4 linked regions of the Elephas maximus indicus genome follow. The protein of the gene in region 2 interacts with the protein of the main gene of each other region in a biochemical or structural test. Links are inferred from orthologs where the notes say so. Each region holds a gene or a part of one and is shown on either strand. Other genes may lie near its edges.

Region 1 (7,722 bases), on a different chromosome or scaffold from region 2:
TAACCAAAGGGAGGGCACAGTAACCCAGAGGTGAATCGTGCCCTTGCCTTTAAAAGTTTTGGGCTTTAAGCCTAGCATTTCACAGGACAAAACTGATTTGATTTTGTTGAACCCAATTTTAGACTAGGATTAGTCTGACTACCCCAATTTCAGTGGGGTAGGTCTGCAGTAAAAGAACCTTTGGTATTAAGTGTCTTGTTTTGAAAAAGTCCAGAAATAATCCACAAACACCTCTGGACTGACTTACTCAAAGTTTATCAAATATCCTAACTTGGGAGGATGGGGCAATTTTAACAGAAGAAATAATCCCCTTTAGCTAGGGTTGGCTAAGTCACATTGACTTCAGGAGTCCAGAAGTGAAGTACTGGCCCTATTCCAGTTCTCAGCCCAAATCCAAACCAAAATCATCCATGAAAAGGCAGTTTTTACATCATAAGACTAATAGTAATGTATTATTAATATTACAGGCAATACTAAGGCCATTGCTCAGTATTAATCTGTTTGAATAAACAAGAAGTCAAATGATCTCAAGGCTCTGATCAGTCTATTCCTCCAACTCAGACGTTCATTTAAAAAATCTGCCAGTGGGTTTCAACAATACAACAATGTGTAGCATTTCTGTTTCCCAGAAAGGTTTAAAACAAAACAAAACAAAACAAAAAACTCTTCCCAGGAAAGTGCAATTAGACCTGTCCCTGAAAGTCAAAGTGGTAGGGGTCAGTTCTCCCATGTCGGAAAACTATTTAGCCTTAACAGCAAAAGTAAAGTCGACTAACAATGAAGCAGCAGGCTAATCTGGAAAGCTCAGGCAGGTGTTAGCAATGCTGACAAATTGAAAGGCTTCTTGGTATCCTGGGCAGGATGTTCTGTTCTCAGAAAATTTCCACTCTTGAGCCGGGCTTTACTAGTTTTAAGGCCCAAACACCTTCTAACGGCTTCCAATTTATAGGTTTCTGGGATCCATAGGTCCATCTCTAACAAGAAGTAAAAAAACCAATGATAGCAAGATTGTGTATCCCTGTCATCCCAAATGCTTTCTGAGATTCCCCAGAGACTTAAAAGATGAAACAAATTCAAAAGGTAAAGTCTAAGACCTTTTTCAAATTTATTGTAGGCTTAGACTATCTGGTCTGGGTTAGCAACTCAGGAATGAGCTAATTATAGTATCCCCTATTCTGCCAAAACACTATCTAGAACTTGCTTCACTTCCCAAGAGGCTTCCTTTCCCAGAGAAGCAACAGCCAAGTAAGATAATTATCTCCCAAATGACCAGCCTCTATCTTACTGCTGGGTGCCTGGAAGAACCCCAAGGTAAATTCTACAGGTTTACCTTATCTCAGCCAACCATGCAAGATAACACACAGCAAGGCAAAAACATTTTAAAACTTTCTTTTGTTTCAGGTGTTGGCAGCTTTAATCTATCGGCAGAAGTATAAATTCTTTGCATAAGTCAAGGTCATCCCTGCTTGGATTAGAGGGTTAGTTCCCTCAGCACGGCAGTTTCTGTTTAAAGGACCAAGTTATCCAGAACCAACCAAAGTTATTGCCATCCAGTGATTCCGACTCATAGCGACCCCATAGGGCTTCCAAGGCCGTGGATCTCTATGGAAGCACACTGCCACTGGTGGTTTCGAACCACCGATCTTTCAGTTAGCAGTAGATTGCTTTAACCACTGCACCACCAGGGCTCCTTACCCAGAGCCAACAGTACAGGCAATTTGAATACAAGCAATAAATACCTGGAACAATATTCTTATGATCCAAAAGGCAACAAATGTCAATTAAAGAGTCCCAAAGAATAACAGAAATTTCTTCCGGGTAAACTTAATAGCAGCAAAACCTGAGCAAGTAGTAGGGCTGGTCATGTGACCTTGGCTATACTATCTCCTCCTAAGTATCTTCACTTATTAGCCTCTACTGTGGGGAGAACATTCTTTGCGATTCCTTCTCCAGTCACATGTGATAATCATGCAGGAGGTTTTATAGAAGCATTCCACCCCACCCAAACTATTCCTATATAAAAAGTAAGTCCAAGAGTCCCAAGGACAAACAGGACCTGAAAGTCCCACCTCTCTAGCAGGAACTGCTTCGGCTGGGTCACTAAAGGTTTAAATAACAGGGCTGGAGGAGAAGAAACAGGGAGTTCAGGAACTGACAAGGCTCTCCCTACAAGGCAGAAGGCGAAATTAGCCACTGCTCCAACTCTGCCCAAAGAACAGAATGAGCACTTCTGTTCATCCCCGCCCACCCGTTACCCCGACCTCTCCTCTCTGGAGCAAACTCCTGTGGACACACCACCTCTTTACTGGCGACTCTGATCGTGGCTCCTCCTTTTTCCTAGGCCATTCATCACCCTCTTCCACCCTATACACCTGAGGGGACAGGAGGGCCCGCCCTCCCCACCTGCATGGGGTCGCATACCAGAGGTGAGCAGCCCACTGCACACCCAGGAGCTGGAAGGCCAACGCAGCACGTGGTCTCGAGAGCTCCACGCAGGGCTGGCTGCCAGCCAAGCGTTCAATCCCTTTAAAATGCGCAGGGGTGCGTAGGGATGGGAGAGGGAGACCCCGGCGCGCGAGGGCCTGGCAGTCGCCTCAGCCCCACCCTGAGACGGCGCGCTCCCTCCCCTAGTCGCTCACCTTGGCCCCGAAGAGCCGGGCGGCCGCAGTGAGTAAAGCCATGGCGGGCGCGCTCGGGGATCTGGTGGGTAGGGAGGGAGGGGAGAGAGCTGCGGCAGGAACGGAAGCCGCCGCCGCCGCTGCACCAGAGGCCGCACCGACCGGTAGACAAGGTTGAAAGGAGGCGGCTGAGGGAAAGGGTAGACGAACCGGCGGCGGGGCCCAGCCCGGGGTCCTCAGTGAGGCCCCGCCTACTGCCCCGAGCCGGATCCCGTCCCTCTCAGGGGACCAGCCCGGGGTAAGGCCATTGGTCCGGTGTGGATATGGGGCGGAGCCTGGGCCGTTGTCGGCGGTTGTGGCCGAGAGGATTGGACCAGCCGGATTAGGATAACGAAGGGTAAGGGTGGAGGCGGGGGATCTTGTAGGTGGCTAAGTATGTGCCTGAGAACTCAGTTAACTTCTTCGGCTTTTTCCCTTCCCTTTACACATTTGAGGTTAATTCTAAGGTATTAGAGAAAAAGCCCCAGGACCTCGATATTTGAAGGTTCTCGGGAGTCAATCCCTTAACCTATTATTGCCCGTTCCTCCTACCCCCTTGGCATGTTCTCCCGAAGAATGGCTTTGGTTAAAGACATAAGGCTATGGAGGTGATATCATGGGGACGTGGGCTGTGATTGCCAGAGTTAGCCGCTTGGTAGAGCTCATTTGAGGTCAGCACAGACCATGGTATTATAGATGCTAACAGACCGCAATGTGTGGAGAATGGGAGCAAAGGCAGGCGCCTGAATATCCAGTGCTCTTTGTGGGCTGTCAGTTCTGCTCTAGTGCCAGAAAATCCAAGTCTTAAAAACACCCCCTTAATATGAAGGCTTCCCAGCACTGGCCAGAGCCTCTAGGTCCTGGGCATTAGTCACTGCCACCCCAGTCACACACCCTATACAGCCAGACCACTCTACATCTAACCACAAGATCAGGAGCTGCAGATCAACCCCTATCCAAGATCAGGCATTAGACATCCTCTTTGTCACATCACTTCCATAGGATCTTTGGGTACCATAGGTCATTCAGTGGTGTCTGGAGAGCACAGGATAAGTGAGTACTTGGCTATGCCATGTACTCACTTATCCTGTGCTCTCCAGACACCACTGAATGACCTATGGTACTAAAGTGATTTTCCACGCCACTCTCTTACCTCTTTGGATGGACAAGACCTTAGGACATTTCCACCTCCCTAAACCTGTCATTGTCATTGACCCAGGGGCAAAGGGGAATTTATAGGACCAGGGTACCTTATCTACAAACCCCAAGCCTCAAGTGAACAGTCCCTTTATCTTCTTACATAACATTAATGAGGTTCAGAGATCACAGTACCCATCTAAGTCAGGTTTTGATAGGCCTAGTTTATACACAACACAGTTTATAGCTTTTGGAGAAAAAAAAGAAAGCTTCCTTTTTTATCTTCCCAGGTTTCCTCATATCCAGTCTCATACCTACTAACGAATGCTCCTCTGGCTTGGGGATCAGATAGGTGGGTACTAGGAAAGAACGTCATAAAGAGAAGCCAAGCAATGCCCAGAGGAAGCACTGACCTCAGCTACCTCCTCAGGACTTCAAAGCTCTATTGATCAATATTTGCTCCCCATTTAGCTTCTCACAGATGATTTCCTCATAACCCTAGAATAATCTGACCTGACTCTCTTCCCTCTGGTTAATTATCCACAGAGACTAGCCAGCAGACCAGAGGACTGAACTTCAGTAACCCAAGAGATAGGTGGCATCATCAGGGTGAGGCTACCAAAGGGACAATTATTGGATGGCCTATTGGAATGTTGGCAGGAGGGATCGGTCCCTGGAGGACATCATGCTTGGTAAAGTACAGGGTCAGCAGAAAAGAGACCCTCAACGAGACGGATTGACACAGTGGCTGCAACAATGGGCTCAAGCCTAACAACGATTGCGAGCATGGTGCAGGACTGGGCAGTGTTTCATTCTGTGGTACATAAGGTCGCTATGAGTTGGAACCAACTCAACGGCACTTAACAACAACATAAGGATAACCTATTTTGGACCTCTAAGTCACTGGAGGGAGGGTGGGCAACAGCAGTGCTCTAAACCCCTTGACACAGGGCCCTGGAGCCTAGTGTCATGAACACTTTATGGACTTTTTGAAAGTTGTCGAATCCTGATACCCACTGCTTTAAGGCCAGTGGGAAAGCCCAGGCACCAAAGGGGCTAAAGGAGATCTCCCAGGAGCCGGCTTAGAATCTCTTTCTAAATATGGATGAGACCTGGAGAGGTGGGGAGAGAATGGGGAAAGATTGGAATGAATAAAGCATCCAAGTGAGCTCTAGGTCCAAATACAACTAAGTGTCTCGGAACTGGAAGCGGCAAGAGACAGAAGGCTGAGTATTGAGGTTATCATGACCTTGGGAGGACCTTTTTAAAATGGACAGGGACAATGGTGCCCCCTTGTGGCCAAGAACAAATAGGAGACTGTAGCTAACTTTAAACTCAAACTCCACCAGGAGCCCTGGTGGCTTAGTGGTTAAGAGCTCAGCTGCTAACCAAAAGGTTGGCAGTTGGGATCCACCAGCCACTCCTTGAGAACCATATACAGCAGTTCTACTCAGTTCTATAGGGTTGCCGTGAGAATCAACTTGACGGCAGTGGGTTTTGTTAAAACTGTCCACATAGAAGCCCATGTTGCGCACTGAAGGGCTCAGTTGCCAACTAAAAGGTCAGTGGTTTGAGCCCACCAGCCGCTCCACTGGCGAAAAATGTGGCAGTCTGCTTCTATAAAGATTACAGCCTTGGAAACCCTATGGGGCAGTTCTGTTGCATCCTATAGGGTCGCTATGAGTCAGAGTCAACTTGACAGCAGTGGTTTTGGTTTTTTGGTTTGGTAAACTGTCCATACCAGTAACCTAAACACCTGCATTTAATAGCTAAAATTTATTGAGTACTTACTGTTACCAAATACTACCTAAATGTGGCATATGCATGTCTTCATTAGTCCTCACAGCAATTCTAAGGGATATAGGTGATAATAGTATCTTTAAAAAGGAGGATACCAAGGCTTAGATAAAGTATCCTGCCTAGGGTCACATAGCTCATAATTGGCATTACTAGAATTCAGACTGAGGTCTGCCTCACTTCAGAGCCTGTATCTTAACTGCTAAGCTGTACTTTTTATACGAGAGACTGTGACTTAAAAGCTGCAACTCAGAAAGGGGATTTTTGAGTCATTGTGTCCTAGGGACATCAGCTTTATATGTTCCTATATTTAAAGATATTTTAAAAGATAAGGAACTATAGTCTTGTTGCGAGGTGCTGTTGAGTTGATTCCAACTCATAGCGGCCCTATATACAAAACAAAACACTGCCTGGTCCTGCGCCATCCTCACGATCATTGCTATGTTTAAGCCCGTTGTTGCAGTTACAGTGTCAATCCATCTTGTTGAGGGTCTTCCTCTTTTTTGCTGACCCTGTACTTTACCAAGCACGATGTCCTTCTCCAGGGACTGGTCTCTCCTGATAGTATGTCCAAAGTACGTAAGAGGAAGTCCTGCCATCCTCCTTTCTAAGGAGCATTCTGGCTGTACTTCTTCCAAAACTATAGGCTTAATCATCTGTAAAACCTTTATACCTGAAATACATGATAAATGGTGATCCCTAGAATGCATAATGAAGAGGACTTTTTTCATGATTAGCACCTAAAATGACCAGAGAGATAGAATGGGCTTCTTACAAGAACAACCAGTTTGGAAACACGGTTGAAGAGGATATAATTTTTCACTACAGAATACTAGAATTAGAGGGCATGCCTTCAAACTTGGAGACGGTTTTCAAAGAAAAGTACTACTTTACACAGCCACTGGAGATCACACGGAGACTCCACTACATGAAGTGAGATGTAGCAGAAAGACCACTGACCTAGGATTAAGATGATCACTGGGGCTGAAGCTTTAGCTCCCTGCTGACTAGCAAGAAACTTGACCTCTCTGAGCTTAGTTTCTTCACCTGTAAAATAGGAATGTTGTTGTTAGTTGCCGTAGAGTTGATGCCAACTTACGGCAACCCCACGTGTATAGGGTAAAACCACTCCATAAGGTTTTCAAGGCTGTGATCTTTTAGAAGCAGATAGCAAGGCCTGTCTTCCGAGGCCTCTTGGTAGGTTCAAACCAGGAGCAGATTATCCAATAGGCAAGGTGAGCACGGTGTTTACCTTGCTTACTAGATCATCTGTAGTGAACCACTTCATATGAGTTTCACCACATCAAAGATGTGAAGTTGTTCACTACAGATTAGTAAGTAAGCACAAGTAAGCCCATGCTTACCTTGTTTACTGGGTCATTCACCCATCAGTGAGGATTTGAAAAGAGGCTTTGATTCTGCGGGAAGGTGCTGTGGGGTTGGGAGAGAGACAGATGCTACACATACCTAGAAGCAGAATCTTTGATGATGTGAAAAAATGTGAAATTGTCCACTACAGATGATCTGGTAAGCAATGTAAGCACCATGCTTACCTTACCTATTGGATAATCCACCCCTGGTTCTTACCGCCAACGTTTTGGCTAGCAGACAAGTACGTAACCATTTTTGCCACCCCAAAAAACCCCACCACTGCCAACAAGTTGATCTGACTCATAGCGACCCTATAGGACAGAGTAGAATTGCTCCATAGGGTTTCTAAGGCTGTAAATCTTTTTTTTTTTTTATAATTTTTATTGTGCTTTAAGTGAAAGTTTACAAATCAAGTCAGTCTGTCACATATAATTACACCTTACTACATACTCCCATTTACTCTCCCCCTAATGAGTTAGCCCGCTCCCTTCTTCCAGTCTCTCCTTTCGTGGCCGTTTTGCCAGTTTCTAACACTCTCTACCCTCCCATCTCCCCTCTAGACAGGAGATGCCAACACAGTCTCAAGTGTCGACCTGATACAAGTAGCTCACTCTTCATCAGCATCTCTCTCCTACCCATTGTCCAGTCCCTTCCATGTCTGATGAGTAGTCTTTGGGAATGGTTCCTGTCCTGGGCCAACAGAAGGTTTGGGGACCATGACTGCCGGGATTCTTCTGGTCTCAGTCAAACCATTAAGTCT
Region 2 (6,802 bases):
CATTCACTTCACTCTCTGCAGGTCCCAGCCTGCATTTCTGGGCATGGGGGCCAGAGGATTAGGTGCTTTGTTGAGGCTACCACCCCACCCCCCTCAGAAAGCCACTTTGGAGTTGCCACACTTTCTGCATGGTCCTGCCCCTCTCTGGAGGATAATGTGGTCAGGAAAGAACTTTGAGCTCCCAGGTCGCTCCCCTCCCCCAGCCCTTCTCTGTCCCCCTTCACCTGACCCCAGGCTAGTTGTCTTTATGTTCCTGAGTTTGAAAGCCAGAGTCAATTGCCCCTCCTGGTTTTCCCTGTCCCGCACCTGGCCCTTGAGGTTTTGTCTAGTTACAGCCATTAAAAAAAACATTACCTCTCTCTTAATGGTCATGGGGCTTAAAGACAGGGCTGTGTCCTGTCACATATACACTATATCCCCAGGGCTTGGCTCCCGGTAGCCCCTCAGCAATTTCAATGAATGTGTGAGTGTGTGTGTGTGTGTGAGTGTGCAGGGTACTAACCCCCCCCCACAACAGCCCTCCACAAACACCAGAGTCTGAGGCTGCACCTGGCGGTTGCTTCGAACTTTATTTGAGAAAAACTGAAGGTAAACGTATCAAAAGAGCATACAGATTGGTGAGTGGGGATGGCCAGCGATGGCTACTGGGGTGTGGGGGTGTTTGGGCAGCAAGGTCGAGACTTTTACTTGGCAGCAGGCTGCTCGGACTTCCCAGCTTCTGGACTCCCAAGCTGGGCACGTGCCTCAAAGGTGACAGGAATGGTGATCTCGGCAGACTGGGTGGCTGGCTTGGGCATCGGGGCCTCCACAGTGAGTGTGCCCTCAGGGGACAGGGAGGAGGAGACCAGGGTGGGGTCCACACCCTGGGGCAGCCTGGGCATGCAAAGAGAGAGGCCAAGAGTTACACAGGGTAGGCACCGCGGCCTTCCACCCAGCCCCTTCCCTCCCGTGAGCCCCCTCACCCCATCTCCGGGACAATCTGGGGCCAGGACTCACGTGTATTTCCGGGTGAAGCAGCGGGAGATGTAGCCGTGCTCGTCCTGTCGCTCTTCGTGCTTGCCTGTGGGGAGGGGGTAGTCATGAACCAGGGGCCCCGCCACCTGCCCTGGCGTGGCTGGGGCGCAAGGCAGACGCTGATGGACTTAGGGGTTTGGGGGACCCGCCTCTCCCGGGCCCTCTCTCAGAAAGTCCTGGAAAATTCGTTCCGGTCTTTTGGACCGTGGGGGCACTGCGCCAGCTCGCGGGGCCTTGCAGGCGCTTGAGCACTTGCACGCCCCCAGCAGAGACTCGGGCAGGGGCAGCGCCGGGACCGTCCCCGCCGCTACATGCCAACAGCACGCCGGGTGCGGCGCAGCACGGTGGGGCGCAGGAAAGCCTGATTATTTGGGGAGTGGGGCTGGGAGTTGACGATGGAAGGGGTGTTTCTTCCCTAAACAGGCCGTTTTTAGAGCTGAAAGGGCCCTGAGGAACTACCCCCTAATATAGAAGGCGAAACAGACGGGAGGAGTGGCCATGACAGGCGGCTCAGCTCCTGGTCCTTGGCTACTTCTAACTTCGAACCCACAGGCCCCGCGCCCACTCCTTCAACCGCCCCCCCCCCCCCAACCCGGCCTAGTTCTTCACCCCAGGCTGGCTAAGTCAGGAGGCCCGCTCTCGCCATACTAACTTCGTCCGCCTGCAGGGGAGCGGGGCCTTACCGGTGATCTCCACCACGCCGTCCTTGGTCTTGACCGTCAGCTCCTCGGGGGCGAAGTGGTTGACGTCCAGGGACACCCGCCAGCGGTCGGACGTCTGCCGGATCTCCGAGACGCCGCTGCTGAGTTGCCGGCTGAGCGCGCGGCTGTAGGCAGGCGCGGCCACGGCCACGGGCCCGGCGCCCTCGACCGCGGCTGCAGGGAGCGGCCGCACGTAGCCCGGCCAGCCGCTGTGGCCGAACCACTGCGACCACTCCTCGGGCAGCCGGGGGAGCCCGAAGGCCTGGTCGAAGAGGCGGCTGTGGAGCGGGTACCAGTCGCGGAAAGGGTCCCAGCTGGGGCTCCGCAGGAGCGAGAAGGGCACGCGGCGCTCAGTCATGCTGGTTCAGCTCGGTTGGATGCGTCTGGCTGAAGTTCGGAGAATGTGGGGCGGCTGGCCCCGCTAGGGCTTTTATGGGTCTCCAACCGGATATTTTTAGCAGGCGGTGTTTCAGGTCTCTATTAATGGCAATGACTGGCTGGGGTCTGTCCCTCCTCCTGCATTCCTCCAACGGGGGCGGGAGCGGGGGCGGGGGTGAGGCGAGGAAGGCCCTGCCCACATCGGGAACCTTCTGTTGTTAAAAAAAAAAAAAAAAGGGCTGGAGCGCACGTACTAGTGTTGGCCGGACACTTGCAGGCCTGGGCGCTAAAGCTCTGAGCTGCGGTCAGTGGACAGTCCCACTCTTTTGTTAAGGAGGACAAGCCGAGAGAGTTTGAGTTACTTGTCCCAGGCCACACAACTAGTAAGCAGCGGAGGCAGGATTTGAACCACACTGTGTCTGTGATACAATGCCTTAAGAAACAATCTGGTGTGGTCGTTAGGAACCAGACTCTGGTTCTGCCTGAATGCACATCTTGGTTCTGCCCCTAATTGTATTAGTTTGGGCAAATGAGATTCTTTGTGCCTCAGTTTCCCCATTTGGAAAATGGAGATGATGTAATAATAATGCTTATAATAATGAAGGCTTCTGTGGCTTAGTGCCAGGCCTTAGGGCCTGGTACCTAATGATTGTTAATATTATTATTATTATCTACTTGAAATGCACAAGAGGGAAGAGGAAGGATGAAAAAAAAAACCCAGAGGAAGGATAGTGTGTACAAGTCTGTTCTCTCCACACCCCAGCCCTGTGGCAGAGGAGCTGGCATGTGTGGGTTTGACATTCTTCCCTGCCCCTAGTAAACTGGGCTGGCCCAGCTTAGAAACCCCCAGGTCTAGTCCTGAGAGGGTGGTGGTGGGGGAAGCTTATTGCCAAATCTCCTGTTATATCTGTTTCTCAAGGAGCACTGGACAGGGAACCTGAAGTGCAGCAATCTGGAATCTAGTCTGGGCTTTGTCGTTGACTTACTGTGTAATTTGGGGCAAAGCACCTCCTTTCTGTAGCCTCAGTTTGTCCTTTTGCATCTTATGATTTCAAACCCCCTTTTGTATCTGATTCCCACAGCACAAAGGGAAAGAGGGATTCTAGGTGATAGATGGAGTCCCTGGGTGGTACAAATGGTTAACACACTTGACAGCCAGCCTAAAGATTAGAGGTTCGAGTCTACCCAGAAGAGCCTCAGAAGAAAGGCCTGGCAACCTACTTTCCAAAAAAATCAGCCATTGGAAAACCCTATGAAACAGAGTTCTACTCTGACACACACTGAGTCTCCATGAGTTGGAGTCCACTTGAAACACTAACAGAGCCAGACCTCTTGCCTCCTAGTATCCAGGGCTCTTACCCTTGTGGGGCTCCTGCCCTGGGGTCCTCTGGTCCCTCTTTTCCCAGCCCATTCTACTTGCTACCCTTATGCTGGGGCTGAGGCCCTCCTCTTGCCAGGTCTATAGGGGACCTATACCAAGGCCACTAAGGCCTTGCCCTGGCCAGGCCCAGACTCCAGGCATACCTGAGAGAATGGGAGCCAGGACTCGAGGTTGCTCATCTTGATGGGCTGGGGGTGGCCACAAGTCTCATGCCCTCTCTGAGCCTCGGTTTCCTCTTTGAAAGAGAGCACACAGACACCTCTCTTTCTTACCTCCCTGCTGCTCATCGGGGAAAAGCCAGGACTGGGCCCCGAAGCCAAGGCCACCTCTGGAAAGGCCTCTGAGCTCCGGGGGTCTGGAGAGCCCAGGGTGGGAGGCAGGCAGGACTCCTGACTTCTGCCCCATTTCTCTTGCTGGATCATGTCATAAGCCCAGTGGGTTTCTGCTGGGAGCTACTGGCCGCCCCCCAAGGGTCTCAGCTTCAGGAAGCCCAGGCCTTTGCTCCCTAGCATGTCCAGCCCCACCTATCCCTAGCTCTATAAAACAGAGATGAGATCAGGAACCAGGGAGGGCCTCATCTGCCCCTGCCTGTCCACCTTGGCCCAGACTGGAGCCCAGGGCACCCCACCCTAGAGGGAGCTGTCAGGTGTGGTCAGGATGCTTTCAAGTGCAGCCTTGCCAGGCCCAGACGCCCTTTGGGTGGGGGCCGTCTGCTGGCTGCCAGCCCTTTGAACACAGCTCCGTTCATCGCTCCCTTCATCTCACCTGAAACCAGGGTGTGGAGAGTCCATCCCCGCTGGCCCAGCCGGAGGAGGAAGTTGTGCAACCCAGGGGGCCCCACAGCACCCCGATCTGGGGGCTGAGAATGCATATCCATCTTCAGTGGGTCAGTTCTTGAGGGACAACTTTCATATCATCCAGTCAATCACAAGGGAGGGACATGGATGGCTCTGGGCAGCACCGCGCTGGGCGAGATGGGGGTGGGGGTAGGAAACTGCATTTGGGGGTTAGACGGGATTGGGAGTGAATCTGGGTACTGGTGGTCTTTCTGGGCCCACATGTCCCATCTGTCAAATGGGGTAAATAATAAATGCGCCCACCCTGCAGGGTTGTGGTGAGTCTCAAATGCAATAAAGCCTGTTACAGGCCTGGGGCTCAGTAAGTGCTCCTGGCCTTTAATTTTGGACATTGCAACTTCAACGAAGTTGTATGTATGTGCTTTACTACTTCAAAGTATCTTATCAGAGTTCCGTTATTCAGATGAGAAAACTGAGGGTCAGAATTGCCCCAAGGTGACAAAGCTGGGAAGGGTGGGGAGGGATTGGAACTCAGGCCTCTTGATTCCCTGCCCATCAGTCAAGAGACTTCCCAGGCAGCCCAGGAAGGGCTGTGGGTTGTAGGCTCCCAGAGTGCAGAGTGGGGTGTGCAGCTAAGGGTTCCTTGTGGGGCCAGGCACTCTGGGTCCCTTCCAGCCCTGACCAGGCATCCTTCCTTCAGGAGGTGATACCGGACACCTGCCACAGGGCTTGGTTAGCAGAGCAAGGGGTGGAAGTCAGCCCTGACTGGCCGATTGTTCTTTGACAATTTGAGACTCCGACTCTGGCATCCTGGGGCGCTGAGCTGCCAAGGGTAGTTTTTCAGTGCTCACCCCCAGAGGTTTTCCAGAAGCCACAGGGCAGGTGCTAGCCCTACCCCGCTTCATTACCTATTGTATGGTCTGGGCATTCCTGCATCCGAGACAGCCCCTTCTCTCCTCCCTAGCCCTGAAGTCTGGGGTGCTCCTGAGCAGCCTCCTTTGCACCATGTCTGAGGCCCTGGCCACAGTAGCCATGCCCTTGGCAGGCCTTTGTTAACTGTGGCTGAACTGGCCCCTCCCTCTTTGGCTCAGGGTCAAAGAAAGCTCCAGAGTGTTCAGGCAGCTGCCTGAGCTCCCTGGAGAGGCCTGACAGCTGACGATTGCACCAGCCACAGGGCCTGCCAGAAACTGAAAATGTAGGCAGCCGTAATTAGAGTGCATGGGGGTGGCAGGCACGGGGTCTTTCTGGAAGCTTCTATACACTGCCCCTCTGGGGCAAAAACCCATCTCTGGCCTGCCTTGCTTCCTAGGCCTCTGGCTTCTGAATTGTCCAGGGGTCATCCCTCCCCAAGCACTGCTGAAGGGGACTAGGAGGGAGCAGGTGGGAGGGCTGGGGATCCATCTTCCAGCACCTTCCACCCCCTCTCCATGGAGCAGAAAAAATGGGAGTCTGGGAACCTGGGATGTCTTTGACTCTGTGACCTTGGCCAGGGGCCGGCTGCTGTGACTCATTTTCTTCATCTGCACAATGAGACCATTGGACTGGCTGTTCTGTAAGACTCCTTTCAGGGCCAGGAAGCAACAGTTGCTCCTCCAGGGTCCTCCCTACCCCAGTGCCCTGCCTACCTGCTCTGCAGTCTAATGCTGCAGCCGTAGGGGGGGTGTACATGGTAAATGGAGGCAGAGATTGAGGGGTAAGGGGAGGAGGTGAGACACTCACCAGGCCTGAGATGTGGATGTCCCGTCCCTGTTGACCAGCTGAGCCTAGGCCAGGCGTGACTTGGGGCTGCTGTCCCTTTAAACCAAAGTAAGGTAAGAAACAGGGGTGGGGGCCCAGGAATTCCCCCTAGACTGGAAAAATTGGAAGGAGAAAGGGATTCCTGTGCTGAGGTGGATTTGGGCTTCCAGCCTAAGGGAGAGAGCCCTGGAAAGTGAGCAAGAGGCTGTGGAGATGGGGCCATGGGACAGGGCACCCCCACGCCTTGGGTCTCCTGAGAGCCCTCCACAGGTGGAGGGGGTCTGGTGATAGGAGTGGTTTGCTAAATACTCCCGCAGCTGAGAGAGAGGGGCAGACAGGAGGCCAGGGGGCTTCCAGAAGCATATCAGAGAGGGAAGGGATGGGGGTACTGGCTCAGGGCTGGGACACCCAAATTGGGCATATGCACTTGTGTCTTGTTGTCCTGGGTCTGGGGTCGCAGGTGAACGGTTAGAAACCGTTAGAAGAAATGGAAAAATACTTCCAGGGAAATGGGAAATAGGAAAGCCTGTCCAGCCTCCCAGCTGCTGTGTGGGTAAGGAGGAGGGTAGGGGGTCCCCACGGGCCCCCATCTGAGGAGAGAGAGACCAGGATAGAACCTGCTACACCCTAAAACCAGAGAACTTGTTCCAGGCTCAGGACACATCCCAGGGAAGGTGGCCCAGCCCGCCCCACCTCCACCCTGTCTATCCGTTCCCTATCCCCCTCCCCCTTCCACAGGAGGCAACGAGAGCTTCCTGTTTTCCTGCCTGCCTTCCTGGCAGTATTTTTCCCCT
Region 3 (7,475 bases), on a different chromosome or scaffold from region 2:
CCTAGATATCCTTCAGGACCCAGCTTGAAGGCTCCCAGTGAAGCTTCATTGCCCCTAGTCCAGTCAATGTAGAGTATCCCCTACAGAGCTCAGTGATTGGGCAGTTCTGCATGTAAACCAAAGGGTCTCAAGGATTTTGGCCTTACCGACGACCCTTTGGGAATCTGACAGCACTGCGCACCTCACCTGCATACTGGGAACATTGGTGTGCCCTTCTTGCGCCTGCTCACCCCAGTCATTGCAGGTTCCTCAGGCCTTTTGCCCTGGCTGCTCCCTGTTCTGACTGCTGGGTCTACACTGCCACCCAGCGGCTCTCCTTCACATGGCCTCACTCACCCTCTCCACAGATGTTCCCTTCCATGAGAACCCCTTCCCTGCACGGCGGAGACTGGCCTTGCTGCAGGATCCTCCTACCCCTTCCCACCCAGAACAGTCACAGTAGGGGCCCCAAGAATCCACAGCAGTGCCTTCCCCGAAGTCAGGCTCATTTAGTCTCTAGACTCTCACATGTGCAACCCTCTCCCCCATCTTTAGCCCCCCCCCCACCCAAGTCCTCACTGGGCCCCTTGGCCGCTTTGAGCTGTTCCCAAGGCCTCAGACCCGTTTTTCCTTAGACACACAGCTATCATTGACTGCGATGTGGCAGAGTCAGCCACCATGAACCCACCCCTGTCCAGGCCCAGCCATCCCACATCTCACCTCCTCCCATCAGTGTGAAGGTGGATGTGGTGGCATATGGTTGCAGGGCTAATGAATGATGGCCCTTCTAGATCATGCCACACAAGCAGTGAGGGTGAACCACGTCCTGACTGTCTTGAGTTAATGAGCAGTTGCAGAACATCTGTCTACGCTGGACCTATGTGGGGAACGTGCGTGCCTGTGTTAGCATGGACAGTGGTTACAGGACCTGTGACAGGAGAGGCATCACCGTTGCTTACTCTTTACACTTCTATATGGTTTGAATTTGTTCCAACAAACAAGTTGAACTTATGCAATTAAAAATTTTGAATAAAAAAGACCAACTTAAAAAATAGACTTATAAAATTTTAGAGCAATTGTAATCTCACTCCATTTTTTAAAAAAGAAGACATCTTCGTGGAGACCACAACATGCACCAGATGCCCTGGGCTGGGCCAAGGAGCCAGTCTCCACCCTCTGCTGTCTAGCCCTTTGCTTACATGGGACCCTGCCTGTCCAGAATGAGACCTCGCTCAGCCTTGGTTTTGCCTAGCCTAAACCAACTACCTCCAGAGGGCAGTTCCTTCTCCAGCCTCTAAGCAGCAGAACTTCCCAGATTATAGGGCCTCCTCCCAGACTTGCAGATCTTGAATCAGATTCTCAGGTGGGGCTCAGGAACAGAAGTCCTAGATTCAGCTGGGCATAAGTGTGTGTGTGTCTGCATGTATGCCTGTGTATTGGAAATGTGCATGCCCATGCAAGCACATGTGTATGTGTGCATGTGCACATGTGTAAACACATGAGTGTGCATATGTATGTACATGTGTGAAGGTATGTGAGCTTGTGTTTGCAGTCGTGGATGTGTCTGGGGGGTTGGGGAAACACATGAGAGGAGAATACAGTTCGAGAGTAAGAGATGGGCCCTGGAGCTGTGCTCTGTGGTTGGGATGGGGGCTCTGCCATGATCGCTGGTCACGTAGGTCTCTTCACCTCTCTGGGCTTGTCTGCAGTGCCGCAGAATAGGTACAGCCCTCCCTCCTCCGGTGGCAGTGAGAAGATCATGGGGCCCAGTGTCTGGCCCCCAAAAAGACTCAGTATGGCTAGCTGAGAGCATCCTTGGAGACACCTGCTTCACTGCGCTCTGCTAGGCTTGAAGGGACAGAGTCCTGGCATCCTCGGCCCCACTCAATGCCTGCACACTGGAGGTACCCACCAATAGTTTATAGCACTGCTTCTCACTCACGGAAAGATCATCAAGCTCTGGCGGAGGCAACTGAGATTGGGGGGGGCGGGCGGGAACCAAACCCTTTGAGGTCGAGTCGTTTCCGACTCACAGCGACCCTATGCGGAGGAGATGCGAGGGGGAGAAGGGCACAAATGCCTGTCTTCAGGAATGAGCCTGTTCTTGCAGTCCTGGTGTCCACGTGCGTGCAAGCGTGTGTGTGTGTATGTGTGCGCGCGCGCGCGCACTAGAGGATGGGGGGGGTGGGGGGTGGGTTGCCAGATCCCAATTCCGAAGTCCTGAGAAGGATTACTGGAGAAGCCTTTGGGTGGGACAGAGGCCGGTACCTGCAGTCCTGCCGATTGTCTGTAGATGGCAGCAGAGGCTAGCGCAGCAGAGGACTGCCCAGCGCCGCACCTTCCCCGTACGAAGTTGTTGTTAGGTGCCCCTGAATCGGTTCCGACTCATAGCAACCCTATGCACTACAGAACGAAGCACTGCCCGGTCCTGAGCCATCCTTACAATCGTTGTTATGCTTGAGCTCATTGTTGCAGCCACTGTGTCAATCCACCTTGTTGAGGGTCTTCCTCTTTTCCACTGACCCTGTACTCTGCCAAGCATGATGTCCTTCTCCAGGGACTGATCCCTCCTGACAACATTTCCAAAGTATATAAGATGCAGTCTCGCCATCCTTGCTTCTAAGGAGCATTCTGGCTGTACTTCTTCTGAGACAGATTTGTTTGTTTTTTTGGCAGTCCATGGTATATTCAGTATTCTTCGCCAACACCACAATTCGAAGGCATCAATTCTCCTTCAGTCTTCCTTATTCATTGTCCAACTTTCACATGCATTACGGTGCGATTGAAAATACCATGGCTTGGGTCAGGCGCACCTTAGTCTTCAAGGCGACATCTTTGCTCTTCAACACTTTGAAGAGATCCTTTGCAGCAGATTTGCCCAATACAACGCGTCTTTTGATTTCTTGACTGCTGCTTCCACAGCTATTGATTGTGGATCCAAGTAAAATGAAATCCTTGACAACTTCAATCTTTTCTCCGTTTATCATGATGTTGCTCATTGGTCCAGTTGTGAGGATTTTTGTTTTCTTTATGTTGAGGTGCAATCCATGCTGAAGGCTCTGGTCTTTGATCTTCATTAGTAAGTGCTTCAAGTCCTCTTCACTTTCAGCAAGCAAGGCTGTGTCATCTGCGTAACACAGGTTGTTAATGAGTCTTCCTCCAATCCTGATGCGCCGTTCTTCATATAGTCCAGTTTCTCGGATTATTTGCCCAGCATACAGATTGAATAGGTATGGTGAAAGAATACAACCCTGACGCACACCTTTCCTCACTTTAAACCAATCAGTATCCCCTTGTTCTGACCGAACAACTCCTCTTGATCTGTGTAAAGGTTTCTCATGAGCACAATTAAGTGTTCTGGAATTCCCATTCTTCACAATGTTACCCATAATTTGTTATGATCCACACAGTCGAATGCTTTTGCATAGTCAATAAAACACAGGTAAACATCCTTCTGGTATTTTCTGCTTTCAGCTAGAATCCGTCTGACATCAGCAATGATATCCCTGGTTCCATATCCTCTTCTGAAACCGGCTTGAATTTCTGGCAGTTCCCTGTAGATAGACTGCAACAGTACAAAGTTAAGGTGGAGGATTTGCAGGAGAAGTGCAGCCCCTACCCTGTGCCTCTAGATGAGTTGTTTCCTCTCTGGGAGCCTCAAGTTTCCTCATGTGTAAAGTAGGGATTATTTGGTAGCCTTTGTATTGGGAAAAGTGGACCAAAATACGTAAGGGATTACCTTAGTAGGCAGGCTCAGAATGATATAGAGACCTGAATGTGGAAGGGAAAACCACAAAGCGAATAGAGAGTATTCGTGTCACCTGGAGGGGGCGACTTCTAAAACGCAACACCAAAAGCCCAAACGTAAGCTGAAAAATTGATGGATCTGACCGGATCCAAGGACTCTGTACCTCAAGGGAAAAAACGAGCCAAGGACGAGCAGGAGGTGCACAGAAGCAGACAGGTTTCCAGTGCGGCAGAGACTCCCCAGAGTTACTGGGGAAAGAATCGCAAATCAAACACCAAAGAGATGCCACTTTGCCCAGCATGCTGGCGAACATTCAGAAGTTGGGTATGCTGGCGGTTGGCGGCAAGTAGGGAAGGCGGAAGTCTCCTGCCTTGCAAGCCAGACTGGAGGGCCGCCCGGCAGCGTGCAGAGAAAACAACCCCATTCAGGTGGATATCTGAGGCTCCAACAGAAACAAGACGTCTTGCTCTGTCACCTCCTAGGTCTCTCGTAAATTTCGGGGCTCGCACAAACCACTTGGGACTGGGCTGTGTTGGCGCAGGGTTCTCCTGGGACCGCCCACAGAGCCAGGGAGGTTACCGCCCCTCAGAAAGCCCCGCCCGCCCGTATTTCTGCCGGGACTCCGGGGCGGGGCCGGCCAAGGGCTGCTTCCCTCCCCAGCCGAGTCCCGCCTGGCCCTTTAAGGCTCACGGAGCGGGGCCCCAAGTCAGGATGACGCGCGGGGGGGCGGTCACGTGGGCCGCCGGCCGCAAGACTCTCGGCCCAGGGCGCTCCGCGGTCCTCGGTTCCCGCGACCGCCGCCCCTGCCCCTGCCCCCGTCCCGCGCCGCTGCCAGGTGCACCGCCGCCAGGTACGCCCTCGCTGGGTCCCCTCCGCGGCCCGCCCTGGGGACCTCGGGGCCACTCGGCGCCCGGACCCTTCCCTTCCTGACACGTGCCCAGGGCGGACTCGCTCGTGTCTGGTTGCGCGACCACCGCCTCTTGCTGCGCGGAGGTACTCAGGCGGTACAGCCTTGTCCCCGATCCAAAGCCCAGCCCAACTCAGGGGCTCCAGGACTGGGGTGCTGGAAGAGTCTAGGAGGGACTCACTCTTCCCCTCTCCCTCAGGTGGTCCTGGACGCACCAGGCTGGGGCCACCTCTGAGTGCCCCGCGGGGGCCATGGATGGCGAAACAGCAGCGGAGCAGGGGGGGCCCACGCCCCCTCCGGGTGCACCCGGCGGACCCGGCTCCGGAGGCGATCCAGCCTTCGGGGGGCGGCGGGAGCCCAAGAAGTATGCGGTGACAGACGACTACCAGTTGTCCAAGCAGGTGCTTGGCCTGGGCGTGAACGGCAAGGTGCTTGAGTGCTTCCACCGGCGCACGGGGCAGAAGTGTGCCCTGAAGGTCAGTGACCCCTCGCCACGGCTTGGGGTATCCCAGAGGGCACGACAGCAGAGGTCTGCGCGTGCAGGCTATGGCCCAGGTCCCTGCCAAGCCTCCTATGCTCAGCGTCACGTTTCATCCTCATAAGCCCCTGTGTGGTCAGGACCATGGCACTCCCTGCTTTACAAATGGGGAAACTGAGGCTTAGTGTAGCTAAGCTCTGGGTGTCCCAATGAGCAAGGGATGCAGTCAATATGGTTAGGGCCTCTATACCCGGAAGCTGGGAAGGAGTGCCTCCTCACACAGGGATTCTGGCTGGGCCTATGTGTGTTCAGGCCCCAGGGGAGCCCTCACTCAGCTTGGGTGCTCCCTCTGTGATCAGCTCCTCTGGCTGTGATGGGTCTGAGTTTCCCTCTGCCTGAGGTTGAGTCCTGGCAGGGCTTGAAGTGGGACTGCTCTCTCCTGGTGGTCCACTGCCTGCCAGGGCCAGGAGCCTCCTAGGGCTGGACAGAGGACAAGGCCGATGCCCATCACGCCTGTGGGCAGGAGGCTGCTGATGGGCTCCTGCTGAGTCACTGGCCCCCTGTTAAAAGGGGCAGGCCTTGATCCCAGCCTGATCCACCCTGGCTCCTGGACAGAGGAGAGCCCAGCCATCTAGCCACAGCAGAGCAGGCCAGCCATCTAGAGGCCTGGCCCAGGCCTTGCTGATACTGGTGGAATCAGGGGGATCTGGGGGTGGCTGATCTAGCCGTGTGGTTCTGATTTAAGTCACATAGTTCTGTGCTCAGGACCTCACCCCATACCCAGAATTCCTCAAATCTGTCGTCAGCTGAGAACTTTGCTCATCTGCATCTTGTGCCAGTAGCCACCTGAATGGGTGGAGTAAGGCAGGCAGAGTGGCTCCTGGAGATTAGAAGTACAGCAAAGGATCTGAAGCTGTGGTTATGAGCCTGAGCTCAGAGTCCTACGGATACGTCTCTAATCTCAGCCCTGCATTTGCCAGGGAAGTGTCCTGGACTCTTGAAGCCAGCTGTCCTCCTCTATTCAGGGGGAAACATAAGAGATTGATGTAAGCTTGAAATGAGATGATAAGGGCAGAGTACTTGGTACTGGGCCTGGCATAGGGCTTGTTTAGGGCACATGGTCTGCCAGTATCTGAGCATGGGCCTCGGCCCAACACTTGGTGTCTTTCCCAGGGGTACAAAGATCAATGGAGGGCTTGTTTCTCCAGAATAGCCTTGGAGGGGATCTGAGGGGTCCAAGGGGAGGCTCAGGGCTGGATTGGTGGGGCGGTCCCCAGACCCCACTAACTGAGCAATGATACAGGGTGGGAGACTTTTTGGAGTCCCAAGCAGAGAATTCTCTGAGTCCTTTAGGGAAAAAGTGGCTCCTCTGAGGGGCTATGGGGATAAGGGAGAGGAGATTGGGAGTCTATACGCATCTTAGCCCCTTCTCCTGTGCTGGGGTCATGGGGCTGCCTGGGTAGGTGAAGGACCAGTTCAGGCCAGAAAACTGCTTCTTAATACTGAGACTTTGGCCCTGTGTCAGGGCTAACCTCTGAGCAGCCGCCATGCTACTCCAGATGCCATGTGTGAGGTGGGGAATGGGTGGGAGGCTAGAGTCCTTGGAGCCAGGCATCACCAACTTTAAGCAGGGTTGATCCTAGCCCCTTCTCCACAGGTGTGTGTCCATCTGTTCATCTGGTGAGTGACTTGGGGGAGCTTCTGTTTTTCTACTGTAGCAACTTCCAGAGCACCTCCTCTTGAATTTAGGGCCCTGTTCTGGTCTGGAAAGTGGGACAGGCCTAGAGTAGGTTCCTGTGTCTCCTCCTCTAGGTTTTAGAGGTAAACGTGGCTGGAGGTACTAACCTCAAGTTGGTCCTCAAATATGGCATGGATTAGATGTGGCATCCCCCCAGTACCTTCCTGTTTTCTCCCCTCCACTCCTCCACTGACCAAGCCTGGTAGGCCTCACCCGGCTAGGCCAGGGCCTCCCCACCTCTCAAAGCAGTGCTGACACAACCTCTGGGTTGCTGGGAGACTCTGGGCCTGGACTGGGGACCAGCCTGGCACGGTCATTGTACCTTACTGTAAATGGCTGTGGCCCTGAGGAGGGAGATGCCATCTCCCTGCTTCGTAGCCTCTGCCCTTTGCCTAGTGCTGCCCAAGTGCCCCTGGCCAGGACCTGGGTTCTCTGCATGTGGGCAGGCCTGGGCCCAGGGAGTTTGGTCAGATCACAAATGGGTCCCAGCTGTCTACTCAGCTGCCCTAGCTCAGCCTGGGTGGGTGCCATGCACTCTGCTTGTCCTTCTTCCTCCCTGGGCTATACCCCAGGTCTCCTGGTTGGCCTGTCCTCATCTCATAGCCTGTCTAGTCTCTAGCCCAGG
Region 4 (7,226 bases), on a different chromosome or scaffold from region 2:
TCCTTCATACATTCCCAAAAGAGCAATCTCTCCTCCCCACCACATCTTCCTCCTTTGGTTTATAATCAAAAACTCCTGGTTTTGAAAAGCATTTCACTACTCAGCACCTAAGGTTAAGTTAATCAAAAGTCAAGATCTAGAAATCTCTTTGGTCTATGTCTCTGGAGCAGAATTCTTGGAACCAGACTGCCCCCACAGCTGTAATTACACCTTAACCAGTATTGGGATATGGAAGGGCTGTTGACACTGCTGTCACTCTCCTCATGCCTCATCCTCCTTTTTTCCTCTATTATTAAGCTTTTACGCAAAGATGTGTGGGAAATCTACAGTTTAACAGTTGAGTCAACTTGTAAGGTCTGGGAGCAGGTTGCCTGTCAAAACAGACTCTGACTTCAATCTTCACCCACTTCTAACTGAGAAAGATAAATTATGCTCATGAAAACCCACTAGACTCCGTGTGTCATTTAAACATTGTTATATTTTTCCTTTCAAAACTATTCAAAAGTGAAAAAGCCAACTCTCTTTCCCCGATTTTTACAAAAGAACCCGAACTGCCATCTAAAAGCAGACTAGAGGGTAGTTTTGTGTGTCTATTACACATACATGGAGCAGAAGTTGAGAGCTTTTGTTCTGAAGGTCTATACAACATTCTCTCCATCCAAGAGAATGAACAGCCAGTGTCCCCAAACTGCGGATGGGTGACAGCAGATGGCGTCTCAGAGGGGATAGAAAACTCTCCTGGAAAGCATGTCTGTCACTTCCTCAAGGGTACAGGTTAACTGTGGTCAAACTGTATTCACTCAACTCTGTTCCTCAAGGTCAGAGCCACAGACAAGACAAACATTCCCTCTCCCTTTCCCGGTTCCAAGTATGGAAAGAAGGGTCTAAGGCACAGACACCAACACTTCCGAGACACACATCTACTCCCTCTACAACACCCAGCATGAGAAAACCATCAAGAGCCCACAGCAACGGCTAATCATAAAAACCAAAGAAATCTGAAAGAGTTCAGGCTAGCGGAAAGCTCTCCCCAAAAGAGAGGATGGAAGCAACAAGAAAACCATTTCAGAGACCTTAAAATCTGGGAATTGCTCATGCTTGCCCTCTACAGCCCCAAAGTGCCAGGTTTTTATTATATCTGATTATATATTCCAACAGTCTGCCCATAACTCATATCTGAGTTTTGTATTTAACAGCTGAAATACTGCCAGCTGTGCGGGTGGAGGGGAAAGAGAAAAATATAACACAGGAAGTATTTTCTCCTCCTCCAATCATTAACACGGCCCAGGGGAAATAGACCTGGTGTGTCACCTTTAGAGATGTGGTTTGACCTGAAACCCCTCTGAGGGAGAACACCTACTTTTTGGTGACCCTTGAACGACTGGCTCACACTGTCTGGGGACCCACCCCAACTCATCAGACCTCCAAGTCCATTCTATTTACCTTCCGAAGTGTTCTCCCCTACCACGCCCCCTCAAAAAATAAAAAAAAAATGAAAGGCTGGGTTTCCCCAGCCCAAGGCTGACGCTCGCTCCTACTGTCCATCTCCACGGCTAAAGAGGCCACCTCCGAGTCGCGGAATCAGCACGGAGCCAAGCCCAGGTTTACAGATTCGGTTTAGGAAGATCGATGGAGCCATGGAAACAGCAGACACCCGCCGGAGCCTGCTGGCCTCCCATCTGGAGCCGCACAAGCACCGGAGGTAGGAGGGGGCCTGCTCTAGGATCAAAACAATCCCTCCCCCGCGCCGGGGGACGGTATCCCCGCGGAATCTCCAGCCTTGCCCCGGCGGGCCAGCGCGCCCCGAGGCGGCACGGCCGCGCTCGCGAGGCCCAGGGAAGTGAAATCACACATTCCGGCTCCCAAATAAGGAGCGAGGCTAAATAAACCTCAGAGATCCGACTTCTCCAAACCAACCGACCAACCAGCTCAATGAGTAATGGGCCTTCTGTGCCCGCAGAAAGACAGAAAGGAGGGAGGAGAGGATGGGGAGCCACGGCCTCCGAAAATCACTTCCTAGAGACGGGGTTAAGCACAATTGGTCCCAAAGCCAACCGTCCCGATTCGGCAGGATCCCGCTCAAACCCCAAAATGGCAGAGTCCGCACGAGTCGTCTCGAGTCCCCGCCACTCGCGCCCCGAGGTGACCGGAAGCCCGGCTGGGCCGGCAGCGGGTCAGATCCGACCTGACCTTCCCGGCTCGGCTCCCCGGAGCCGCGCACTTGGCACCACTCGGGCACCCCGGCCGCCCCGCTGCGGCCACTCACCCCGCCGGCGCCGGACGCCCCCGAAGGGTCAGCAGATGAAGTGAAGGCGACTCCTCGCCCCCGCCGCCCGGAGAGCAGGGGGTCGTCCCGGGAGCGCCCCTTCTCCCTCCCCTCCCCCCGGCCCTAAACCTACTTTTAGGGCGAATTTCTCCTGGGTCCGCTTGTTGAAGATCTGCAAAACTTTCCCGTTGATCCCCAGCCCCAGGACCTGGGTGGTGACCTTGTAGTCGTCGGTGATGGCGTTCTTCTTGATCTGCAGGCTCGACTTGACGTGGAACTGCGGGAACTGCGGCGGGGGCTGCAGCGGCGGCTGGGCCGGGGGGTGCGGCGGAGCCGGGGCGGGGGGCTGCGGCGGCGGCGGCGGGGCGGGGAACAGCACCGGAGGAGTCTGGCCTTGGGAGTTGGACAGCATGGTGCCCGGAGACGCGGGCGCAGGGGCCGGAGGGCCCGCGGCCGCCCCCTCCTCCGGCTCCGGACCGGGTCCCCGCCACCCCCCGCCCGGCTGGAAAGTTTGCTCCGGGCTGGAGCCGGCTTCCCCGCCCCGGCTCGGCTCCAGGCTCGGCGGGTCGCGGGGCTCCGTGGGTCCCGCCGTCCGCCGCTGGCGCCCACCGGCCCTCGTCCCTCCCCCCGGGGGCCTGGCGCTCGGTGGAACGCGGGACGGCGGGGGCCGGCCGGGGGGAAGCGGCCGCGCGACAATGTACCCAGCCCGGGCCGGCGGCCGCGTCACAGCCTCGTCTGCGTCCGGGGCTGGCCCTTAAAGGGGAGGGCCGGGGGCGGGGCTTGGGGAGACGAGGCGGAGCCGGGAAGCGTGGGTGTCTTAAAGGGGAGGACGCGAGGCGCCTGCAGCGTGGTGGGCCGCGCCAGTGGCTGGGAGGCGCGAGACGAAAAGGGGAGATTTTAGTTCTTCCCCGGTACCACACAAAGGGAAAGGGGTGGTGGAGGAAAGCAGCTACATAATTCAGATGGAAAATCCACTTTTCTCCAACCGTCTGGGTCTTTTAGAACAGCAGCAGCGAATTGGAGGAGGGGGTATGTTTTGAAGGAGAAGGGATGGCAAGTGTGAGCTTGATAGGCGCTCAGGAGTTTGTTGAAATCACTGGGGCCGTTCATCCTAGAAACACGTGTGATACTAATATTAGATATTTACTTAATTGAACAGTTCCCTCGTTTACCTATGAGTTTTGGATTTATTTCCTCATACATGTATTGTTTTTCATATGAATTTAAAAGGATGCGGGATGGGAAGAGGATGGGTCGAGATCCAGATCACCTGAAATCAGGTGAGCCTTTACAATTGCCTGGCTGCATGATCAGAGAAAGACAGACTTTGCCCCTCTCTCTCGGTGGAAAGAGTAGTGACGCCTTTCTCATGGGCTTGTGGAGAGTATCAGGTAAGATCATGGAGAAAAGGGAGAGTCTGGGGAATAGGTTCTGATTTCCAACGTGGAAAATGTTTTTCCTGAACCTACAGGCATAAGAAGAAGCAGGCGTTTCTGAACAAGCCTAGTTCTGGCCCAGGGTAGCCCCATGTATCTGAAGAAGATGCCAGCGAGCTAGGGGGTCCCATAGCATAGCCTGGATCAGGGCAATGAGTGGGAGGCCCTGAATATAAGCTGCCAGGAGGCCTGGGCATGCATTCTGGTGGGGCCTGGGCATGACTATCAAATGCATCCCTGCTGACCTCCTCCCCTCTCCGACTAGTAGGGCAGTTGAGAAGTAAGACACAAAACCTCAGCTTAATTACTCGTGGGCCAAATTAGAGAATGTGGCTTGACCTATGGCCACCATCGCCCCTATTATGTCCCTCCACAAGTCCAGAGCCCCCTGTCAGGGGAAACTCAGCTTAGGGAGAAGCAGAGAACTTCCTGAGGACCAGGCTTTTGAGGAGGGAGCCCAGGAGAGGAAGGCACAAGTACCAGTGACTCCTCCCTCCCTCACCTTTCCCAGAAGACATTTCTCCCGCTGGGAGGCCAGAGTGAGGGGGTGGAGGGAAGGGCAGGAGTCGCTGTCTGGCTCTGTCCCTCCTGAGACAGGAGGGCTTGCTCTACAAACCAAGGAGCACATTCATTCTTTTTAAGGAGCACTTATTTAGTGCTGACTGTGTACATGGTACCATGCAGTGATGGATGGTGTTAACAATTTTGAGGGTAAGGAGACACAGACATGTACTAGATATCTTTAGAGAGGCACAGACCCAGCCCCGGGAGCTGAAGGAGTAGCGATCCTCTGTCTGGGGTAGCAGGGAGCTTCCTCCTGTGCTGTAAGGACGGGTAGGGTTAGACACCTCCCCTGAGCTCCCTGACTCTTCAAAGACAAAGAGGCTACCCAAAACCACAGGGGTTGGAAAACACCTCCACCTCCCCAGTTCTAATGTATTGCTATCACCTGAGGCAGGCTTGGGAGATCCCCCAAAGAATTAGGGTCACAAGGATGGGGGGAGAAAGGCTCCGTCTGATCAATTTCTTTCTCAGGTAGAGGGGTCACTGGTCTGGGGCTGTTCAGGGCTCCGGGTTGGCCTTTTTCTCTCTGCAGAGGAGTAGGGGACAGGGCTTCCCCTTGCTTGGCATTGCACTTGACTGGCTTCTCTCACAAGGCTAGGAAGAGTATAGCTCCTGGTGCTCTTTCAGAGGCAGCAAGGCATAGTGGAAAGAGAATAGAAATCAGAGACAAATGACCCGAATTCACGCCTGTCCTCCAGCTGAGTTATCTTGAACAAGCCATTTAATGTCTCTTTATGTCTAGAAAATGAAGAAAATAATAAAATCTGCTTTCAGGGTTGAGTGAGAATCCACTGAGATAGTGCACATGAGAACCCTTCATAAACTGTAAACTAAATTATCATGAAGTGTTAAATATTATCATTATTTGTATATTGCTGGCCTTGCTCCCCTGTGCTGAGCCCACTGCCTAAGGGTCTGTCCCTGATATCAAAGCCGCCTTCCTATCTAGCTGGGGCTCTGGGGAGATGCTAAAGCCTGATGACCTAGGAATAACATGACAACTGGAATCCTCATGGAGTTGAGAAGTAAGGCAGATTAGCCCTAGAGCGGCATGCAGGACTCTAAGGACACATAGACAGTGCACAGAGATTACATATACTACACACGCAGCCCCAGAAAACACACACATGTATGTGCCTACCTGAAAACCAAAACTAGATCCATTGACCTCAAGTCAATATCAGCTCATGGCAATCCTAGTGTTACAGAATAAAACTGCTCCGTAGAGTTTTCTTAGCTGTAATTGTTACTGAAACAGATTACAGCAGTACTGCTGGGTGGGTTCAAACTACCAACCTTTAGATTAGTAGTCAAATCCAGATGATTTGCACCACCCAGGGACATTTAACAAAAAAAAATGCCTAAATGGATGAATAACTGAGGAGCGAGCTGGGCTAAAGGAAGAAGCACTAGGCAAGGGAACCAGAGTCCATTGTGGTATTAACTAGCTATATGACCTCAAGAACATACCTTACCCTCTTAGTTCCCTCTTCTCATCTGTAAAATAGTGATAATAACATCTGCCCTGCCTACCTTGGAGGGTATCTTAGTCATCTAGGACTGCTATAACAGAAATACCACAAGTGGATGGCTTTAACAAAAGATGCTTATTCTCTCACAGTCCAGTAGGCTAGAAGTCAAAATTCAGGGCACTGGCTCCAGAGGAAGGCTTTCTGTCTCTGTAGGCTCTTGGAAGGTCCTTGTCATCAGTCTTCCCTTGGTCTGGGAGCATCTCATCACAGGAACCTCAGGTCCAAAGGATGCGTTCTGCTACCGGAGCTGCTGTCTTGGTGGTATGAGGTCCCTGTGTCTCTCTGCTTGCTTTTCTCTTTTATATCTCAAAAGAGATTGGCTTAAAACACTAATCTTGTAGATCTCATCAGTATAACTGCCACTAATCCTGGTGGCGTAGTGGTTAAGTGCTATGGCTGCTAACCAAAAGGTCAGCAGTTTGAATCCGCCAGGCGCTCCTTGGAAACTCTATGGGCAGTTCTACTCTGTCCTACAGGGTCTCTATGAGTTGGAATCGACTTGACGGCAGTGGGTTTGGTTTGGTTTGGTTTGGTTTGGTTTAATCCATCTTATTAACATCATAGCGTTAGGATTTACAACACATAGGAAAATCACATCAGATGACAAAATGGTAAACAGTCATACAATACTGGGAAGTATGACCTAACCAAGTTGACAGATACTTTTGGGGGACACAGTTCAACCCATGACAGAGGGTTATTGTAAGGATAAAATAAAATAGTTTCCCATAGGGCACAAAGAAGTCCAAAGTCCTACTTATATAATAGCAAGCTTTCAGCTGCCTGTAATGAGCTACTTAATAAACAGTTTTTATGGATTTATAAAAACTTCAAGGGTTAAAAGTCTATGCCAATAGAAAGTACTGTTTTTATCTACAGTTGACAAGCAAACAGACGCTGTGCAAGATAGTACACAGACAATGTAAGCAGCTCAGGTACACAGAATGGATTACTTATAATCATTGATTCATGACGTCGCCTCATCACTGGATCGGTGGCCCTTGTGCCTCCACTTTTATGTAGTTACTTGTTATTTTTAATAAGGTAATAGGCACCTGTGAACCCACTACCCAAAATTAAAACTAGGCGTTTGACAATGATTTACATCTAAACAGGTGGTACCTCGACCCCCTCCCCCAACCTATTTTTGTTTCCCTGGCCCAAGATAACCATCATCTTCAATCCTATGTTCATCATGCCCTTTCTTTCTTTTTTTGTATAATTTTATTTCATGTGGACACATTTAAAAGTTTAGGTGTCCAACCATCATAAAAGATGAAGCTGAAAATGTCTTAAAAGGGAAGTAGATATGGGTGACTTTATTAGCAAGAAGAGGTTAAAACAAGAGACCCCTTATGATAGCTTCCAAGTATTCCTTTCCTGATGATGATGCTAATGATGAAGATGATAACTGCTCACATTTACTGA

Evidence for each region.
Region 1: the proteins of HSPB1 (region 2) and CS form a complex in vitro, tested with the Homo sapiens proteins (2 studies listed by BioGRID). The link is inferred for Elephas maximus indicus from reciprocal best matches to the Homo sapiens genes HSPB1 and CS.
Region 3: of the proteins of HSPB1 (region 2) and MAPKAPK3, one has a biochemical effect on the other in vitro, tested with the Homo sapiens proteins (2 studies listed by BioGRID and IntAct). The link is inferred for Elephas maximus indicus from reciprocal best matches to the Homo sapiens genes HSPB1 and MAPKAPK3.
Region 4: of the proteins of HSPB1 (region 2) and MAPKAPK2, one has a biochemical effect on the other in vitro, tested with the Homo sapiens proteins (17 studies listed by BioGRID and IntAct, with this or other methods). The link is inferred for Elephas maximus indicus from reciprocal best matches to the Homo sapiens genes HSPB1 and MAPKAPK2.

Annotation. Positions count from the first base shown.
Region 1 is NC_064822.1:116,265,744-116,273,465, forward strand, and holds the start of CS (citrate synthase, mitochondrial), read right to left. Parts: upstream 3,016-7,722; 5' UTR 2,682-3,015; coding exon 2,640-2,681; intron 1-2,639. UniProt on the Homo sapiens protein: Key enzyme of the Krebs tricarboxylic acid cycle which catalyzes the synthesis of citrate from acetyl coenzyme A and oxaloacetate.
Region 2 is NC_064830.1:94,249,968-94,256,769, forward strand, and holds HSPB1 (heat shock protein beta-1), read right to left. Parts: upstream 2,194-6,802; 5' UTR 2,074-2,193; coding exon 1,698-2,073; intron 1,061-1,697; coding exon 997-1,060; intron 874-996; coding exon 684-873; 3' UTR 520-683; downstream 1-519. UniProt on the Homo sapiens protein: Small heat shock protein which functions as a molecular chaperone probably maintaining denatured proteins in a folding-competent state. Plays a role in stress resistance and actin organization.
Region 3 is NC_064838.1:54,949,823-54,957,297, forward strand, and holds the start of MAPKAPK3 (MAP kinase-activated protein kinase 3), read left to right. Parts: upstream 1-4,462; 5' UTR 4,463-4,577; intron 4,578-4,833; 5' UTR 4,834-4,885; coding exon 4,886-5,110; intron 5,111-7,475. UniProt on the Homo sapiens protein: Stress-activated serine/threonine-protein kinase involved in cytokines production, endocytosis, cell migration, chromatin remodeling and transcriptional regulation.
Region 4 is NC_064836.1:16,407,954-16,415,179, reverse strand, and holds the start of MAPKAPK2 (MAP kinase-activated protein kinase 2), read right to left. Parts: upstream 3,008-7,226; 5' UTR 2,679-3,007; coding exon 2,400-2,678; intron 1-2,399. UniProt on the Homo sapiens protein: Stress-activated serine/threonine-protein kinase involved in cytokine production, endocytosis, reorganization of the cytoskeleton, cell migration, cell cycle control, chromatin remodeling, DNA damage response and transcriptional regulation.